Rhinolophus ferrumequinum: one gene and its partner. Each later gene encodes a partner of the first gene's protein in a complex. Links are inferred from orthologs where the notes say so. Each region holds a gene or a part of one and is shown on either strand. Other genes may lie near its edges. The genes, in order: MUS81 and EME2.

What was found.
Region 2: the proteins of MUS81 (region 1) and EME2 are in contact, whole or in part, in a crystal structure (PDB 7F6L), measured with the Homo sapiens proteins. The link is inferred for Rhinolophus ferrumequinum from reciprocal best matches to the Homo sapiens genes MUS81 and EME2. Residues at the interface, in NP_079404.3 of Homo sapiens: His330, Glu351, Phe354, Lys357, Arg358, Arg363, Val365, Glu381, Leu385, Gln386, Thr389, Asn390, Gln392, Val393, Ile394, Phe398, Lys400, Arg401, Tyr411, Leu414, Leu415, Arg417, Gly418, Leu419, Arg421, Leu422, Pro447, Ile464, Lys467, Ala468; in NP_001244299.1 of Homo sapiens: Glu140, Arg177, His179, Glu220, Glu221, Val224, Leu225, Gln227, Leu228, Trp229, Asn231, Leu232, Asp233, Leu235, Arg245, His246, Ala249, Val250, Lys252, Ala253, Leu254, Gln256, Tyr257, Lys260, Gln261, Glu264, Gln266, Phe268, Phe270, Cys271.

What each region holds. Positions count from the first base shown.
Region 1 is NC_046294.1:5,965,127-5,973,673, reverse strand, and holds the start of MUS81 (crossover junction endonuclease MUS81), read left to right. Parts: upstream 1-4,868; 5' UTR 4,869-5,512; coding exon 5,513-5,647; intron 5,648-5,740; coding exon 5,741-5,870; intron 5,871-6,111; coding exon 6,112-6,194; intron 6,195-6,737; coding exon 6,738-6,836; intron 6,837-6,950; coding exon 6,951-7,019; intron 7,020-7,181; coding exon 7,182-7,267; intron 7,268-7,831; coding exon 7,832-7,972; intron 7,973-8,170; coding exon 8,171-8,266; intron 8,267-8,352; coding exon 8,353-8,474; intron 8,475-8,547. UniProt on the Homo sapiens protein: Catalytic subunit of two functionally distinct, structure-specific, heterodimeric DNA endonucleases MUS81-EME1 and MUS81-EME2 that are involved in the maintenance of genome stability.
Region 2 is NW_022680357.1:3,538,273-3,546,244, reverse strand, and holds the start of EME2 (probable crossover junction endonuclease EME2), read right to left. Parts: upstream 3,543-7,972; 5' UTR 3,526-3,542; coding exon 3,288-3,525; intron 2,950-3,287; coding exon 2,813-2,949; intron 2,379-2,812; coding exon 2,286-2,378; exon of another isoform or gene 2,216-2,285; intron 1,565-2,215; coding exon 1,473-1,564; intron 1,282-1,472; exon of another isoform or gene 1,272-1,281; coding exon 1,178-1,271; intron 1,036-1,177; exon of another isoform or gene 1,010-1,035; coding exon 894-1,009; intron 729-893; coding exon 539-728; intron 452-538; coding exon 281-451; 3' UTR 1-280. Other genes in the region: MRPS34 (28S ribosomal protein S34, mitochondrial), read left to right, coding at 3,621-3,941, 4,098-4,140, 4,226-4,518; MAPK8IP3 (C-Jun-amino-terminal kinase-interacting protein 3), read right to left, coding at 7,942-7,972. UniProt on the Homo sapiens protein: Non-catalytic subunit of the structure-specific, heterodimeric DNA endonuclease MUS81-EME2 which is involved in the maintenance of genome stability. In the complex, EME2 is required for DNA cleavage, participating in DNA recognition and bending.

The DNA of each region.
Region 1 (8,547 bases):
GCAGCCTGCAACCCCCATGGGCAGGTCTGGGGCTGCCAGATGCTCCGGGCAGGGGGCTGGAGGGGGCTCACAAAGGCTTGCCCTCCAGGGAGATGACAGCACTGCCCCCCAGCTTCTCTGCCAGGGTGCAGCGGTCCTTGACCTCCTCGTAGCAGTTTGCTTGTAATTCATGCTTGATCCCTGTGGGGAAAAGGGGGGAGCGTATGTGAGCAGGAAGCAGTAGGGTGGCTGGGGGTAGTTTATGGCTGGGAAGGAGCCAGTCGGAACAGATGGAAAGGACATGGTTACATTCCAAACAGGCAGGGACAAGGAGGGGGAGGAACCTCCTCTGCCATCCCAGTCACCCTACCCTGCAGCCAAGGCCTGGGCAGAAAGAAGAGCATGTGGCACTACCAATGCTGGTCCTTACCCGTCAGCTTCTTCTTGATGGCGTCCTTGGAGCTGGCATAGATCATTTTGCTCTTAAGGGGTGCAGACTCAGGAGCCCTGGATGGAAATAAGAGACATAGAAACTTGCAGCAAAGTCTCCTCCAAGTCTAGCAAATGCCCTCAAGCAACAGATGACTTCCAGAGAAACACTTGAGCTGGCCCCTAGCGTTCAAACTTTTATCAAGTTCCTCATTGACAAGTTTTGTTACAACACCGCCCCCCCCCAAAAAAAAACCCACACTTCTGGTTAATTAGGAGGCAGAGTTCCCATCCTGAGAAAGGGCGGTGAGACAGAGCCAGTACAGGTGACAAAATAAGTGCCCGCAGGAGGAGCTCACCAGAAGATAAACACCAGGTCCTCCTTCTTGCTCTCCTTGGTCTCATAGGTTGCATCATAGAGGGCGTAGCGACAGTCCTTGTCCGGCAGCATCTTGACAAAGGTGGCGTAGGGGTCGTCTACAGTCTGGCCCACATCACCTACCAGGATCTCCTTGCCCTCCTCCAGGATGATGTTCTTCTTGTCCTCACTCAGGCAGAAGAGCACGGCCTTCTTGCGCTTCTTCACCTCCTCTGGTGTCGACGACTTACGCACCTTCATGTCATTGAACACTTTGATGACTCCATCAGAGACAGCCACACCAGAGGCCTGGGGGACGAGCCACACACACCTCATAAAAAAAAGACTTCCTGGGACTCCCCCTGAAGTCCCTCCTTTGCTTTCTTAGGAGACCTGTCTGGATGCCAACCAACATACTACACAGTCCTCAGCCCCAAGAGGTCATGAAAACCTTTTCCAAAGTAAGTGTCCCTCTTTTCCTACTCAAGCCACTGTCAAAAAATCAGATGGGACACAACTCCAAAATAGCAGCCACAGACGAGACCGCTGATCACCTCATTCAGCATCATTTCTCCCCACCCCAACATCTTGCAGGCTAGAAATTGAAGACCTGTGAGAAACAGAACCATGATTGAGACATGAGCCCAGAATTAGAAGAATCCACAGGCAACTGACTCGTTTCCTACTCACATTACACAATCTCAGCTTTTGGATAAAACTGCTGACTCAGAACCTCGGTGAAGAAAACCTAGACACCGAAATCATAGCCATCTCTTCTGGAAAGAGAGAACCAGGCCCATACAATGCTAGATGTAACACCAAAGGTGCTCAACAGTTGAAGCAAATTCATCAGAGTCGCTCAGTGCAATTATTACACAAACTATCCATTTTTCTGCTGGGGTCTTCCTCAACCGAAAAATTACAACCCCTCATTAAGGCCTTACCCGACAACTCCCTATTTTCTGGGCAAAATGCAGGCCCAAAAAGCTGACAGAAGTCCACAGCGCAAACTCAAGTGCCCACAGTCCTTGAGGGCCCTTTAAACTTCTATTTTGGGTCGTATCGGGGGACACCCTAGCCCGGAAAAGCAGCGACTGTCCACGATGAAATCTGCGGAGCACCCCCCTCCCGGAACTGCAGAGGAAGCCGGCCACGTGACTCAGCCGCTTCCGGAGTAGGCGGGGAAAGGAGCTAGGCTAGGCTCGGCCCCTCCCCGAGAGAGAAACCCCTACCCAGAGGCAGTAGCAACTCCAGGGCCTCAGCCTGAAAGAATCGCTTTTACAAGCCGGCGTATCAGCCGGAGCCTGGGCAAGTTACACAACGTTCGGTTCTCGGAGCCTTCGGGCCGAACACGGGCGGGGTGGTTTCCGGGCGGTGCCCGCCTGGGTCACTTCCCTAAACTTGACTCCACCCTCAAGCCCCATCCGGGAAAGCCGAGGGCCCCGCTTGTCCAAGGCTTCGGGCCCAGCGCCCAGGCCCGAGCGTGTGCGCACGCGCCTGCCGAAAGCGCCGTTCCAGCCTTTGCCCGATGTACAGAGCGGAGAACCCAGCTCGCTTTGTGGGCGAGCTCGCTCCGGAGCAGGGCCGTGGCCTCTGCTGTGTCCGATCCGTGCCGCGCGGTGCAAGCCCCTAATCCCAGGCGCCCACTCCCGGACCCTGACGCCCGCGCATCCCCGCCGCCCCCGCCCCTCCCAGGCGCAGGCATCCTTGCCACCTGCTCTCGAGACAGACCAGCCTGCCGAGGGAGGATGACGCGGAGACAGGAACAGCACTTGGGTGGGGCGCGCGCGCCAAGACTGCTCGCGCGCTTTTCCTTCGCCGCCCCCGGGCCAGGTTTGGATACCGCGTGCTCCCGTCGAGCGCGCGTTCCCGTGAACCGACTCACTTCACCGCCGCTGCGGCGCGCGACACCACCCGATCTGCGAGGGGCGGGCGCGCGCCTCGGACCCCTCCCCCACGGCTAGTGTCGGCGCGGGCGTACCAGAGGTGGGGGAGGGGAAGGGAGACCAGGGGGCGCGCGTGCGACGTCCCAGCTAGCCATCCCTGGCGCCCGCGGGCGCGCACGCGCGTCCCGGGGCCGCCCGCCCCTCAGCACGAGACCCTCATCCCGCCCTGGGTGCTGGGGGAGGGGTGCCGACGTCGTTTCCCCGTTCCCTCCCACACGCGAGACGACCAACTCGCAGCCGCCTCCCTCAAGCACCGGGGCCTGGTGCTCACCATGTTTCCGGAAGCAAAAAGGCGACAGCAAGCAGAGCCAGAAAAGATGAGAGCCTCTGCAGCTGCTGCCGGGATCCGACTGAACGCGGCCTCTCCCGGCCCCTTCCGTTTAGTATGAGCCGCACAATGAGGGGCGGGGCGGGCTTCCGGCGCTCCCACTGCGGGCCGACGGGAAATGAAGTCCAAAGGTCCTGCGCCGTCCTCGAGCTCGCTGGAGGCGAGCCCGTCTTCCCAGCGCTACATTGCATACCGGGAAATGTAGTCCGAGACAGCTGAGAGGGGCGGGGCTATGGCACAGAGAGCGCACCCATTGGTCGAATTTCCCAGGAAACGCTAAGCGCTGTGAAAGGCGCTAGGTAACATGACCCGAAAATGAGCCCCGACTTCGCGGCTCTTCACCCCGTTGTGAAACGGTTTCCTTAAGATCCATCTTAGCACTTTCTGGATCCCGTGGTCTGAAAACTTTGAGTGAATCAGTATTTTGCTTTTCTGAAGCGAAGCAACTATTTACTGGCCCGGAATCCAGTCCTTGAGCAAGGAGAATCGCAAGTATAAGGTGCCTTCAATCCAGTAAACATTGAGCAACTCCATGGCAAAGCCACGCTTGTCTCCTGAGAAAAGGCCATATGAAACTTCAATAAAATAAGAGAAAAAAATACGGGAAAGGTTACAAGGAACTCTTTGAAAATAGATGTGTCGTTTTAAACGTTTGGCAAATTCACAACGCACTAAAAGGAGAAGGGCAGGGGTTTGTGCATTCAACTCAAGGATTATGTGCCTTTTACTACAGAGCGAAAAGAAATAGATACTAAATCAAACTTGAATCTTGTTCTCGAGTTGAGAACCAGGCATATAGTTAATTTGGGGGTTAATTTAATACCCCCAAAAACTGAGACATAGTTTTACAAAAACAAACTGGGGTTGGGGGGCTCGGGAAGATTTCGTTGGCTTCAAACAATGACATGGCCTCACTGCGCAGGCAGAGAAGAAAGGGTCTCAAACAAGGGAATTAGGGCCATTGATCCTACAAGCGTAATAAAGGGTGTAAACGAGCTGAAAGCCCGTTCTTCACTGGTCGGGGAGCGACTCCCTGGAGTGGGGTACCTCGCAGAGCATGCCGGGGGTTGTAGTCGGGGACGTCCCGCCGCGCTCTGCCTACCAACCGAGCTACGGGGAGCCCCAGGTGAAGGCCACAGCTCGACCGCTGCCTACCCCTAGAGACCCTGTCAGAAGAGAAAACTGGCTCCATCTTTATCGAGCCTCAGAGTTGCCAAGAGCAACGAGAAGGGGGAGGGGGACATCGCAGTTACCCAGGAGACGTGCTCCCTCCCGCCCCTAGCCGCGGGATGCCCTAGATGTCCTTATTAGGACAAGAGACTAGAGGGGGCGGGACCAACCCTAACGATGGCTGGAGGCTCCTTATAAGGCAGCGTCGGACAGGAGGCGGGAGTTCGGAGTAGGCTGGGCGGAGTCTGGAGGGGCGGGCCTGTTGCTCCCACGGCCGCCAGTACGCTCGTAGGCTCCAGCCTAGCACCTCGCGTCTTCTGGTATGACGGCTAGGGGTTGCTTCAACTCCCAAGCGAGATCTTTGTGCCCAATTCCTCCATACGTGTCCCTCAACCTGGGACCTTTTTTGCATATATATACCATCTCAATCCTCTCTGAGGGTCCCCCATCTCCAATAAATCACTAAACCGGCGAAATGTTCACCCCTTTCACCCTCGTCGGGGCTTCTTACCTCCAGCTTGCTCCCCCAAATCCAACCACGTATCCATCTCAGCCACCCCTTTTACCTGCCAGGATACCCAACACTTCCTGCTTTTCCCTCTTCTTCTCCTCTGTTCCCCTCCCTCCGTCCTACTAACTTTGGCCTTCCCTGAAAATTCCTGACTTCGCTCCCCACTGCCCTGTGTCGTCCCTCCCAGCTCGGGATCATCTTTTCCTCGGAGGGGCCTTCAGCTCCTTCCGCGTTACCTTTGTGTGCTCATATCCTGTACTTTCTAGATACCTCTCCTGCAAATACACCTGCACCCATTTGTCTCCCATCCCCCACCTCTCAGCCTTTTCACAAGCCCAGTCTCTCCAGACTCCTCCGTCAAGGTTAGCTGAAAATGACAGCCTCAGATTACTTAGTTAAGCACCGCCCCAGCCAGCCCTCCCAGCCACAAGGGGGTGCAGTCCGCCTTTCTCTTGCCTTCACAAAGAAGACCGCTCTAGATTCTGGGGTGGGAGGAAGGGGCGGGTCAAGGCTCGGGGGCCTGGGTGGGGTGTGTCCCAAAGGCTGGTCCTGGCCGGGAGGAGCGAGGGGGCGAAAGACCATAGAAACGGTACTCGGCACCAACCACTCAGAGTAGTGGAGGGGCGGGGAGGGCAGCAGGAGGTTATCCTCTAGTTAGTGCCCCTCGTCGGACCACGTGATTGAAGAAGTCCCGCCTTCACCCTCCTGAGCCAGGTGTTCGAATCCTGTTTCCAGAACTGGGCGTCTCAGTACCGCCGGCGTGAGGCGCCAAAGGCCTAGTCCTGGGGCTCATGGCGGCGCCGGTGCGTCTGGGCCGGAAACGTCCGCTGCCGGTTTGCCCCAACCCGCTCTTTGTACGCTGGCTGACCGAGTGGCGGGACGAGGCAGCCAGCAGGGGGCGCCGCACACAATTCGTGTTTCAGAAGGTGGGTGCCAGCCCGACCTTATGAGGACAGGTGCTGGCGGAGCCAAACGACCAGGCCAGCCCTGACCCGGTACGGTACCCCCTACCCCGCCAGGCGCTGCGCTCTCTCCGGCGTTATCCACTGCCCCTGCGCAGCGGTAAAGAAGCTAAGATCCTGCTGCATTTCGGAGACGGGCTCTGCCGGATGCTGGACCAGCGGCTGCAGCAGCACCAGTCATCTGGTGGTGAGCTCTGGGGGCAGGGGTCGGGGTTCCCTGAGTCTCCCTGAGGTGCAGCCTCCGTAACCACGTGGGATACCTTAGCTTCAAGCTCCACTCTCCTGTCCAAGTTGCTGTTTGACCCAGGGCTCGGTGCTGGCTCTCGTAGAGCCTCACCGCTCTCACCTACCACACGAGCTGGCAGCGTCCCAGATCCTCCCGCCTGCTGGATTCCATGGGGTCCAGGGTTGACTCTCTTCTCCCGCAGGTGACCATGCCCCAGCTTCATCTGGAGCAAAGAGTCCAGCCCAGGAAGGACCACCTGCTGAAGTCCAGGACTCTTCCATGCCAGTGAGGATGGGGCAAGAGGAGTGGAAGGGATTGTGGGGGCACCAGGAGTAAGATTTTCTGGCTTGGGGGACTAGCAGGCCTGGGTCCACATCTCCCCACCAGTGATACCTGGCCTTGGGCAAATGACTCATTCTCCCTCATAGCTAGTTTTCTCATTTGTAGATGGGTATGCCTGTGTTGATTGGTGAGAGAGTCAGTTCTGTGATCAAGTTATTTAGGGGGCCAAGCCCAGTAAGTTGTGGGGGTTGATATTACTGAGTTTTCTTGTCTTACCACCTCTGTCCTGCAGTGGATGGTAGAACTGAGACTGGAGCGGGCCGATTACACCATCCCACAAGTCTCCACTGTCTCATCCCAAACTTGCAGGCGATCATCCCATCATCTGTCCTGTTTAACAAATCTGGGAACTGAGAGGCAGCTGAGTGACTTGCCCAAGGCCATGCGGCCTACAGAGATAGAACCTGAACCTCAGCCCTGTCAGGGATTCAGTCTACAACGGCTGGCTGGCTGATTTTCATATTCAAAGTCCTTTGTATCTTTAAGGTTCTGGCCCAACCCAAAGCGGGAGGCTCTGGCAGCTACTGGCCAGCTCGGCACTCAGGAGCACGAGCAGTACTGCTGCTGCTCTATAGGGAACATCTGGTGAGTACCTAGCTATACTGAGTCAGGGAACCAAGGCAGTGGGGCGTGAGGCTCTGGGAAGGGATTGGCCCAGGCACGGAATCTGCCTTGGTTATATTTCTGCCTTGGTTACAGAATCCTAGTGGCCACAGCTTCCTAACCAAGGAGGAGCTGCTGCAGAGGTGTACCCAGGAGGCTCCCGGGGTGAGCACTGAGGTGGGGATGGTTGGGACCAAGTGGCTCTGGATCTGACCTTGAGCCCACCAGAGGCTGCCCTTCTCAGGAGCTAGCAGTGGCATGGGACCCAGGGAGCTGGACACATGGTGGCACCAGGTGCTCTCTAACAATCACCTCACCTATGGACAGGTAGCCCCTGGGAGTGCTCGATCCTGGCCAGCCCTCCGCTCCCTGATCCACAGGAACCTGGTCTTCAGGACACAACAACCGGCCAGGTGGGGCCAACTACAGGGGATGCAGGAGGCAGGGAGGGGGAACATGCATGATGGTCTGAGTGGGGTCTGCAGTCACCCAGCAATTCCCAGGCCTCATGCTGTTGAGGTTGGGGGAAAGGGGAGGCCTTATCCCCAGGACCCCACAATGTTGGAATACTGGGAGGGTGTGAGAGACTGAGCAGTGAGGGCGAAGAGGAAGAGGTGCGACAGATTATCAGCGGAGCGGAAGAGCTTTGCTGGGGACATGGCATTTGACACATTTTAGAATTCAGAGGGTAGAGATGCAGGAAAAGCACTGCAGGGAGGAGGGAACAGTATGAGCAAAGTTGGGAGGAAGGAAAGTGTCTGAGACGTATTGCAGACCTGAGGGATGGCCCTGGCCATCCAGAGGGCAGTGATTAAAGGAGCAAGAACACAGCCTGGGGGGTGATGGTGGAAGCCACTGGACTTAATTGTGCAGGGTCACCAAGAGGGTGTGAGGCCTGCCTAGCTGGGGGCAGGCAGGAGAGCCTGCCAGATATGAGCAAAGAAGGGAGATCTGTGTTCGTGTCTTCTACCTACTAGGTACTCACTGACCCTGCAGGGTCTGGAGCTGGCCCAGAAGCTGGCCGAGTCAGAGGGCCTGAGCTTGCTGAATATGGGTATCGAACCAGAGGAGCCCCCTGGGGACGAGCCAGAAGTGCCAAGATCATTCTCCGCTGAGCTGTGAGGAGGGGAGAGAGGGAAAGGGGGGATGGAGAGAAAAGGGGAGCACGGGGTCCCAGAAACGAGGCCAATACCCCACCTCCGTCTCCATCACCTACAGCTGAGCTGTGGCTGTCTCACTTCCACTGGGTTTGGAGGGAAACTGCCCTGGCAGTGGGGTTCTGGCCTCACACACACCAACGCCCCCCCCCCTTGTAGTGGTGCCAGTGAAGGCAGTGTCCAGCAGCCACAGCTGGAGCTGAGGCCTGGAGAGTACAGGGTGCTGTTGTGTGTGGATGTTGGCGAGACCAAGGGGTGAGTGAGGTAGGGGGAAGTGAAGGAGAGGATGCTGGCGTGGCACTGGCCTGCCCTGACCTAAGCCTCCTGCCTTGCGATTCCAGGGCGGGGCACAGATCAGAGCTGATCCGCCAGCTGCAGCGGCTGCACGTAACCCACACAGTGCGCAAGCTACACGTTGGGGACTTCGTGTGGGTGGCACAGGAGACCAGGCCCAGAGACCCGGGTAAGGGCATGGACAGGCAGGGCAGGTGGGTGTCAGAGGCAGGACCTGGTGGGTGGGGGGACGTAAGCCAACA
Region 2 (7,972 bases), on another chromosome or scaffold:
ATGTGAAACCCGCCCCCATTCTCTCGCCCCTCCAGCCAGCCGGCATCTCGTGGAAAGAAGTTCTTCTGCTCACCCCAGTTACCCAAGAACCTTTCCTGCTACCTGTGCCTGCCCCTTGGGATGAGGTCTGACCGAGAGCCCCTTCCAGGCAGAGTGGCAGGTAGTGCTGGGTGACTGCTCTCCTCCTCCTACCCCTCGTGGTTTCCGGTCACTCCCTTGCTGGACGGCCTGCTGTCCTGCTGGGTGGCGGGAGAAGGCCCAGTAGGTCTGGCAGGCCTGGTCAGGAGCTAAGGTCCAGCAGGAGGTCAGGGTCGGTGGCGGTCAGGAAGAGGCAGATGCGGCGGGAAAGGTCAGGGCCCAGCCTTCGGGGCCTCTTGCCCTTGTCCGCCTTCACAGGGAGGTCAGCCAGCAGAGCCAGGCGCTCCTGCTCTGTGCCGCAGGCCACGTACGCCTAGGGCAGGCACAGGGATGAGCAGAGCAGGCCTCGGGGACCTGACCATCGTACCTGAGGGGGTGGAGGTGGCGGGAGGGGGCCCACCTGCTGCAGAAGGCGTGGAGAGGGGAAGGCGGTGACAACAGCATCGGCCATGGCCGGGCTGACCCGGTTGAACTGCCTGATCTGCCGCCACCAGGCGCCCCGCAGCCCTGTGCCATCTCTTGTCACTCGTGCGCCTGCCACCCAGCACGCAGCTGTGCGGAAGGAAACGGCCTGGTGCTCCTGGAACTGCCTAAGGACAGCAAGGTGCAGAGAGGTTTCTGGAGGCTCCCTCTCTCCTGACCACCCAGTCCCCCAGCTCAACAAAGCCCCTCAGCCCTCTGCGTCACAGAGGCTGGGAGGTACCACCCCTCCAAGCGTTCCTGTCACCCTCCTAGCTGGGGTGGGGGCCACGCACTTGAAGGGGTGCTGGGCGAGGGCCTTGGTGAAGGCACACACATGCTGACTCAGCTCCTGCCAGGAGGCCACCAGCAGCACGTCCAGGTTTGCCCAGAGCTGCAGGAGCACCAGGGCCTGAGGAGGCAAGCCCGTGGGAGTGGGTAAGAGGAGGGCTCCCCTGGGGGACACCCAGCTAAGAACAACCCCACCTGCCACCCTGGGACCACACCCAGTGGCTGGGCCTCGGCAGCCTGAGAGCCAGGGCCAAGGCCAACCACCTCCCCCAACCTGACATGTCCTTACCTCCTCCACCTCGGGCCAGCCGACTGCCATCATGGCACGGGCCATCCCTGGATTCTCCGGCGGCTGCATCTCCCGGGTGTTGGGCTGGCGAGACCTAAGCAGAGGTGACTATCCCTTCAGCTCCCCACACCCCATAGGTCCCACCCTCCTTGAGTTCTGCTTCCCCTAGAGCCCGCCCAAAGGAGGAGCTTAGCCCCCCAAAGGAGGAGCACAGGAGCCCCCGAGCTACCCCAACCTTTTCCCTGAACTGCCTCATCCCAGCCAGGCCTGCTAAGGGTATGAGGGTGGCCAGTACCATAGGTAGGCATCCAGCCCGATGACAGCCAGGTGGGGGCAGGCGGGGCTCTCAGGAAAGATCCAGGGCACCGAGCTGGTTGGGCCACAGACCTGCAAGCCAAGGTTTACCACACCTGTTTCTCTGGGATGCGGCAGGTAGGGCCCATGAGCCACCAGGCCACTGCCAGTTTGCAGAATGAAGGGGAGCCAGGAAGGCCCAGTGGTGCTGAAATGAGACCGAAGTGGGCTTCCTCTGCTCAGCCAGTTCTCTAGAAAACCAGCTGTGTGCTTCCCCTGAGGTCAAGGGGACCCCAGGCCTGTCCCAGTCTCCTAGAAGAGTCTCCCTCCCCATTCTTGGTCCACCTCTGCACCCCAGCTGGGCACTTGCCTGGTAGCAGATAAATGCGGAACCTCAGACCCTGGGGCAGACAGAGGGTCTAACCTGACGACAGGCTGGCACAAACATCCGCTGAGCAGTCTCTATTGTTCCTCCAGCCAGGCGGGGGCTGGGCTCTTGGCTGGCATAGGTGGCCTGCACAGCCAACCCACAGCCCCAGTCCCAGGCCCCCTCTCACCAATTTCCCACCTCTGGCTTCTGACTGAGCTCTGCAGAGGGCCCGCTTTATCCTGGCTTCTGCCCCCTATAAGCAGCTGCAGCTCCCGTCTGCTCCCAGGCCGAGCCCAGGTGGCTTCCCCCATCTCACCCACACATCTGAGCTGCTGACCAGAGAAGAGCCCCTGCCCACTGCATGCCCTCTCCAGCCCCTCTGCCTTTGAGCAGCACTGGCAGAGCAGCGCATCCAGGCTAGGAACCCAACCCCCCACCGAGCACCTGTGTGAGCTGGAGGACGCCCTGCAGAAACTCATCAGGCTCCAGCAGCAGCAGGAGGTCCTGCTCCCCAGCAGCCCACACCTCAGGAGGCACCTGTGGGGACACCAGGAGCACTGCTGCCCACCCTCGGCCTTGAATGACCCAGGGCCTTGGTCTGGGCACCACACAGCTCTGAGGCTCATGGCCACAGCCAAATCCATGCCAGCCAGGGCTGCTCTACAGAATCCAATGTGGTCTCCTGCTGAGGCCAAGACCAGCCCTGGTCTCCGGGGCCGGCAGGAGCCCTGAGCACAGCCTCAGTGGGGGTGGAACATTCCTCGCACCAGCTGAGTGCAGACCCTGGACCCAGCCCTGCACCGGCACCATAGTTTGGGCATCACCCCATTCAGCATCCCCCATTCTTAGTTTATGTGCCCGATTACAGCAGCTACCTCATGAAATCATGGAGGTGAAATACCGAACTCAGGGCCGCACTACAGAAACCCAGGAAATGAAGCTGCTGGTGGCAAGGAAGCCGGGGCACTCACACTGCTGGGGCAGGGTTCCGGCTTCACTCTGCTCCACCTGAGGCTCCGAGCGGGGCGCTGGGGCTCGATGCGGTACTCACAGCCCAGGGAGCTCAAGGCTTCCAACAGGATGTCAGCGCCAGCATCTTCTAGGATGGCTGGGGTGGGCCAGAGAGACAGCTGTCACTCCTTTCCCCCCACGGGAGGACGCTCCTCACCCATAGCCTGGGCGGCGTGTTACAAACACATCGATTCACCATCCGCTCCAAGAGCGCAGATCGGGCCCAGATCCCAGAGTCTGTTTTTCAAACAATCTCCCCAGTTGGGAAGCCTGCGCCAATTCCTGGCCAAGAGGCGGCCTTGACAGATGCCCCTCTCACCCCGCAGTGGGCCGAGAACCACCTCCCAGTAATTAAGGGGAGCTTCCAAAGCCCGAGCTCCAGCAGAAGTGCAGCTTCTTCTAGGCCCCTTGCCCTGGCCCTGGCCCAGGGCGCACCTGGGTCCACCTGCACCACTAGGCGCCGCACCGCCTGCTCCGGCCGCAGCAGCCGCAGAGCCTGGGCGGCCGCCCTGCGCTCCTCTGCCGGGTCCCGCGCCCTGGCGACAGCCTCCGAATTGGCTTCCGCGCCGGCGGGGCCTTCGGTGTCCGAGTCTGAGATCTCCCAGGTCGGGGCCCGCCGCTGGCCGCGGCCGCGGCGCGAGCCTCCAGCCCCGCCGGGCCCAGCCCTCGCCATGGCCCGCCCGGCCTCCTCTCCGCTTCCGGCCGCGCCCGGCCGCCTTTCCAGGGAACACCGGCCTCTTCCGGCGGCGGCGGCGGCGGGAGCCAACCATGGCGCGGAAGAAGGTGCGGCCCCGGCTGATCGCCGAGCTGGCCCGCCGCGTGCGGGCCCTGCGGGAGCAGCGGGAGCGGCCGCGCGACTCGCAGCGCTACTCCCTGGACTATGAGACGCTGACTCGGCCGTACTCGGAACGTCGGCTGCCTGCGCGGGCCTGGGCCGACGTGCGCAGCGAGAGCCGCCTCCTGCAGCTGCTCGGCCGCCTCCCGTTCTTCGGTCTGGGCCGCCTGGTCACGCGCAAGTCCTGGCTGTGGCAGCACGACGAACCGTGCTACTGGCGCCTCACACGTGTCCGACCGGACTACACGGCTCAGGTGAGTGCGCCGGTCCCCACCTCCCCACTTCCGAGCTCGGCGAAGCAGCACTGCCGCCCCTGTGCGCGACGTTGTGGGACAGGGGGTCTCCTGCGTCCTGATCTCTGGGGACAAGAAAGCTTTCTGAGCTGATTCCCTCCCCATTTGTTTTTGCAGAACTTGGACCACGGCAAGGCCTGGGGCATCCTGACCTTCAAAGGTAAGGCGTCGGAGACCGGGTTGGGTGGCTGCTGGCAACAGACCGTTGCGCGAGTGCGCAATAAACCACGTCCTTCTTTCCCCAGGAAAGACGGAGAGCGAAGCCCGGGAGATCGAACAGGTCATGTACCATGACTGGCGGCTGGTGCCCAAGCACGAGGAGGAGGCCTTCACCGCGTTCAGGCCGGTGTCCGAGGACACTGTGCGCTCTGTGCCCTACCCGCCGCTACTCCGGGCTATGATCCTAGCAGAGCGACAGAAAAATGGGGACACTAGCACCGAGGAGCCCATGCTGAATCTGGAGAGAACACGCATTGATCCCTGGGACTACCCTCGGAAACAAGAGGCAAAGAGAAAGGCCAAAGGCACTCCAGTCTAAAATGTCAGAGCCCGCAGGCCGACCGAAGGGTGCAAGGCGTTGGGCACCATTTAGATGAAACAAAATGTCTTTGGGTTACACCTGAGAGCTCGGATCTGACGTCCACTTGTTCTGAGGCTCTGTACTGAACAGAGAGTAGAAAGGGGTGGCGTTAGACCCTGCACCTGTGTCTTCCCTCTGTTCCTGTCGCCCCAACACCCAGATCTGACGGAGGGGGCCACACTGGAGGCGGCTGCTGCTGGGGGAAAGCTGAAAGAGCAGGGCTAGTGGGTGTGGAGCCCCCGCGCTGGCACCTGTCATTTCCAGGCTGGCTCCCCTTCCTCATAACGGGTTGCCTCAGCTGGGACCCAGATAGAAGCTGTGAACGCGAATAAAGTCAACTGAAGTAACGCTGGTTTGTAGTACCTTCGAGTTTGGGGGACCATGGCTGGTTGTCTCCTGGAGAGTGGGGTGAAAAAAGCTGACATCGCGGTGAATCTGGCTCGGTGGATGGGAACACCTGAGCGGATTGGGGGGAAGGGGTACAGATGCAGCCGTCGCAGAAAGGTCTGGGGGCCCCGTGGCCGCAGAGATTCTGGGGTGAGCGTGGACAAGGCACGGCCTCACCGCATAGTCCGCGTTCCGTCAGCCCCCACCCTCGCCGCACCCACGGAGGCAGCCGCGCCAGGGGGCCGGGAACGAGGGGATTCGGGCTGCGGCCCCTTTAAACACAAGCCCCGCCCCCTCCAGTCTGCGCTCCGCTTCAGTCGCCGTCGCCATCATGATCTGTTTGGTGCTGACCATCTTCGCCAACCTCTTCCCCGCGGGTGAGCGGCGCGGCCGGGGCCGGGGGTTGAGCCGGGCCGGGCCAGGTGGGGTGGGGCTGCGGGCGGGCCTGACGCGCGCGGTCCCGCGGGTCCCGCAGCCTGCTCCGGCGTGCACGAGCGCACCTTTCTGGCGGTGAAGCCCGACGGCGTGCAGCGGCGGCTCGTGGGAGAGATCGTGCGGCGCTTAGAGAGGAAGGGCTTCAAGCTGGTGGCGCTGAAGCTGGTGCTGGTAGGGGCGGCGGCGGGGGGGCGCGGGGGTGGCGTGGGCGCGGGGGGGGACCCGGCGGGACGGGAGGGGGCGGGGCCCTGGAGCTCGCGAGCCGGCCCCCTCCCTCCGCAGGCCTCCGAGGAGCTGTTGCGCGAACACTACGCCGAGCTGCGCGAGCGCCCTTTCTACGGCCGCCTGGTCAAGTACATGGGCTCCGGGCCGGTGGTGGCCATGGTGAGTGCCGGAGGGCGGGCGGCGCGCTGACCCCGCCCCGACCGCGCGCTGACCCCGCGTCGCCGTCCCCGTCCGCAGGTGTGGCAGGGTTTGAACGTCGTGCGCATCTCGCGGGCTCTCATCGGAGCCACGGATCCTGCGGACGCGCCTCCCGGCACCATCCGCGGGGATTTCTGTATCGAGGTCGGCAAGTAAGGCCGGCCCCCGGCCCTCGGGACGTTCTTAGCGCGCGTCGCAGCTCCCCTCACTGGGCTGCGTGGGACTCCTGCCCGCGCTGACACACGCCTCTCCCACGCAGGAACGTGATTCATGGCAGCGATTCTGTGGAGAACGCCCGCCGTGAGATAGCGCTCTGGTTCCGCCCCGAGGAGCTCATGTGCTGGGAGGACAGCACGGAGCATTGGCTGTATGAGTAGTGGAGCCGCGGGGACCCGGCCTCCTGCAGCGGCAGAGGACCCAAGGCCAGAGGACCCAAGGCCGGGTGCCCGGGGCCTCTAGGGCAGACGTGCTGCAATAGGTTGTGGCTCACTTGGCACCCTCCAGGCCCCGGAGGTGGTGCTCAGAACACCCCTTCTGTGACAGGTATCACAGGATCCCTTCAGGACCTCCCACAGGGCAGGTGGGTCTGCCCAGCCCGGCATGCGACTGTTTGGAAAATGCCTGGAAATGTACCAGGGCACCAACCCTGGCACTGAGCTTGCTCCAGCATTTCTTTTTCTAATAAACTGAAGAAAACCCTTGTACTCACTCATGTTGGTTTGGGGTACCATGTTAAGACATTTATTACATACAGAGCAGATACACGGGTTTGCTTGCAGGGCCAAAGCCTGAGGAGAATTGTCACCCAGCCCCTTCTCCCAGCTGCACCCACCCCAGATAACCCCCGAGTCATTCATGGCCCCGTGGGAACAGACAAAGGACTTGACGGACATCACAGTGGACAGTGGCAGGGCGGTGGGGAGAAGCCTGCAGCGGCATGTGACTGCAGTGGTGTCTGGCTGGGCTGTGGGGTGGCTGCCCGAGATCTGTGCTTCTCTGGTGGGAGGTGGGTGGACGGCAGGGCACGAGGCTGCCCTGATCAGTGCCTTTTGGAGCAGGACTAAAGCCTGGGCAGGTGGGGAGGCAGCAGTCCAGGGCGATGCCCTTCAAAGTTGGCGGGCGCACACTCCTAAGAGCTGGGGGAGGTGGCCCTTATCCTTAGCCCTTCGGGCCTCTGTTGTTAGCCTGTCGGTTGCCCTCAAGGGAGCAGGCCACACCACCAGCCCAAGGCACTTAGTAGTGTGTCTTGGGAGCTGGGCTCCTTGGAGACTGCTTGGCAGGCAGGCCCAGGAGCTCACCTTCCCCATCACCCTGAGGCTATGCCTGCATCCTAGGACTGACCCCAGGAGAGGCCAGGGCCCCCCTTTCTTCCTGAGGCTTGGGCCTGCCCTGGCAGCCTGAGAAATTCACCCTAGGGGCTTCCAGGAGGGGCAGGACTCCAGGGTATGCTCCTACAAGGTGGGTCTTCTGCCCAGGAAGGGGGGAGGGGACATGGGTCAGTGAGAGCCGGTGAGAGCCTGCCAAACAGGAGGATCAGGGTTTGAACGGGATGAGGGCATCTGTTTGTCTTCTCAAACAGCTGCCCCATGGAGTCTGGTTACGTGCTTTCATGCCAGTGCCCGGGGTGGCAGGGATGGGGGCAAGGTCTAGTGGCCGGGCCAGCTCCCTAAGGACCCCCTACCCCTGCGTACAGCAGGCAAAGGCAAGTGGACTCAGGTGGGGAGACCTGGAGGTGAAGTCCCTGTTTCCTGCCCTGGGGATCCAGGGAGTGAGTGATGGGAGCGGGGAGCCCAGGGTGCAGCTGGGAGCCACCTTGGGTCTGTCCCGGCCCAGCCCACCCCAGGACTCTGCCTCATTCTGGCCCTGCAGTGCCCTGGGACTGGGCTGGGGGCCAGCCAGGAGCTGCTGGGAAAAGGGTGTCCCAGAGGTTCTTCCCTCCCACCCACGCCCCCCTCCTCCCAGCCAGACCCACTTTGCAGCTCTCCGCCCCCTGCCGGCCCCTGGGCTGGACCTAAGGTGAAAGCTGCAGGTTGAGAGATTAGAAAGGGGCTGACAGCAGGGGGCAGCCCGTGGCAGGTGGGTGGGGCGGGGTGTATGTACACGGTGGCATCAGGCAGGGGCGGTGGAGGCCACGCCTCACTCGGGGGAGTAGGAAACCTGCCACACA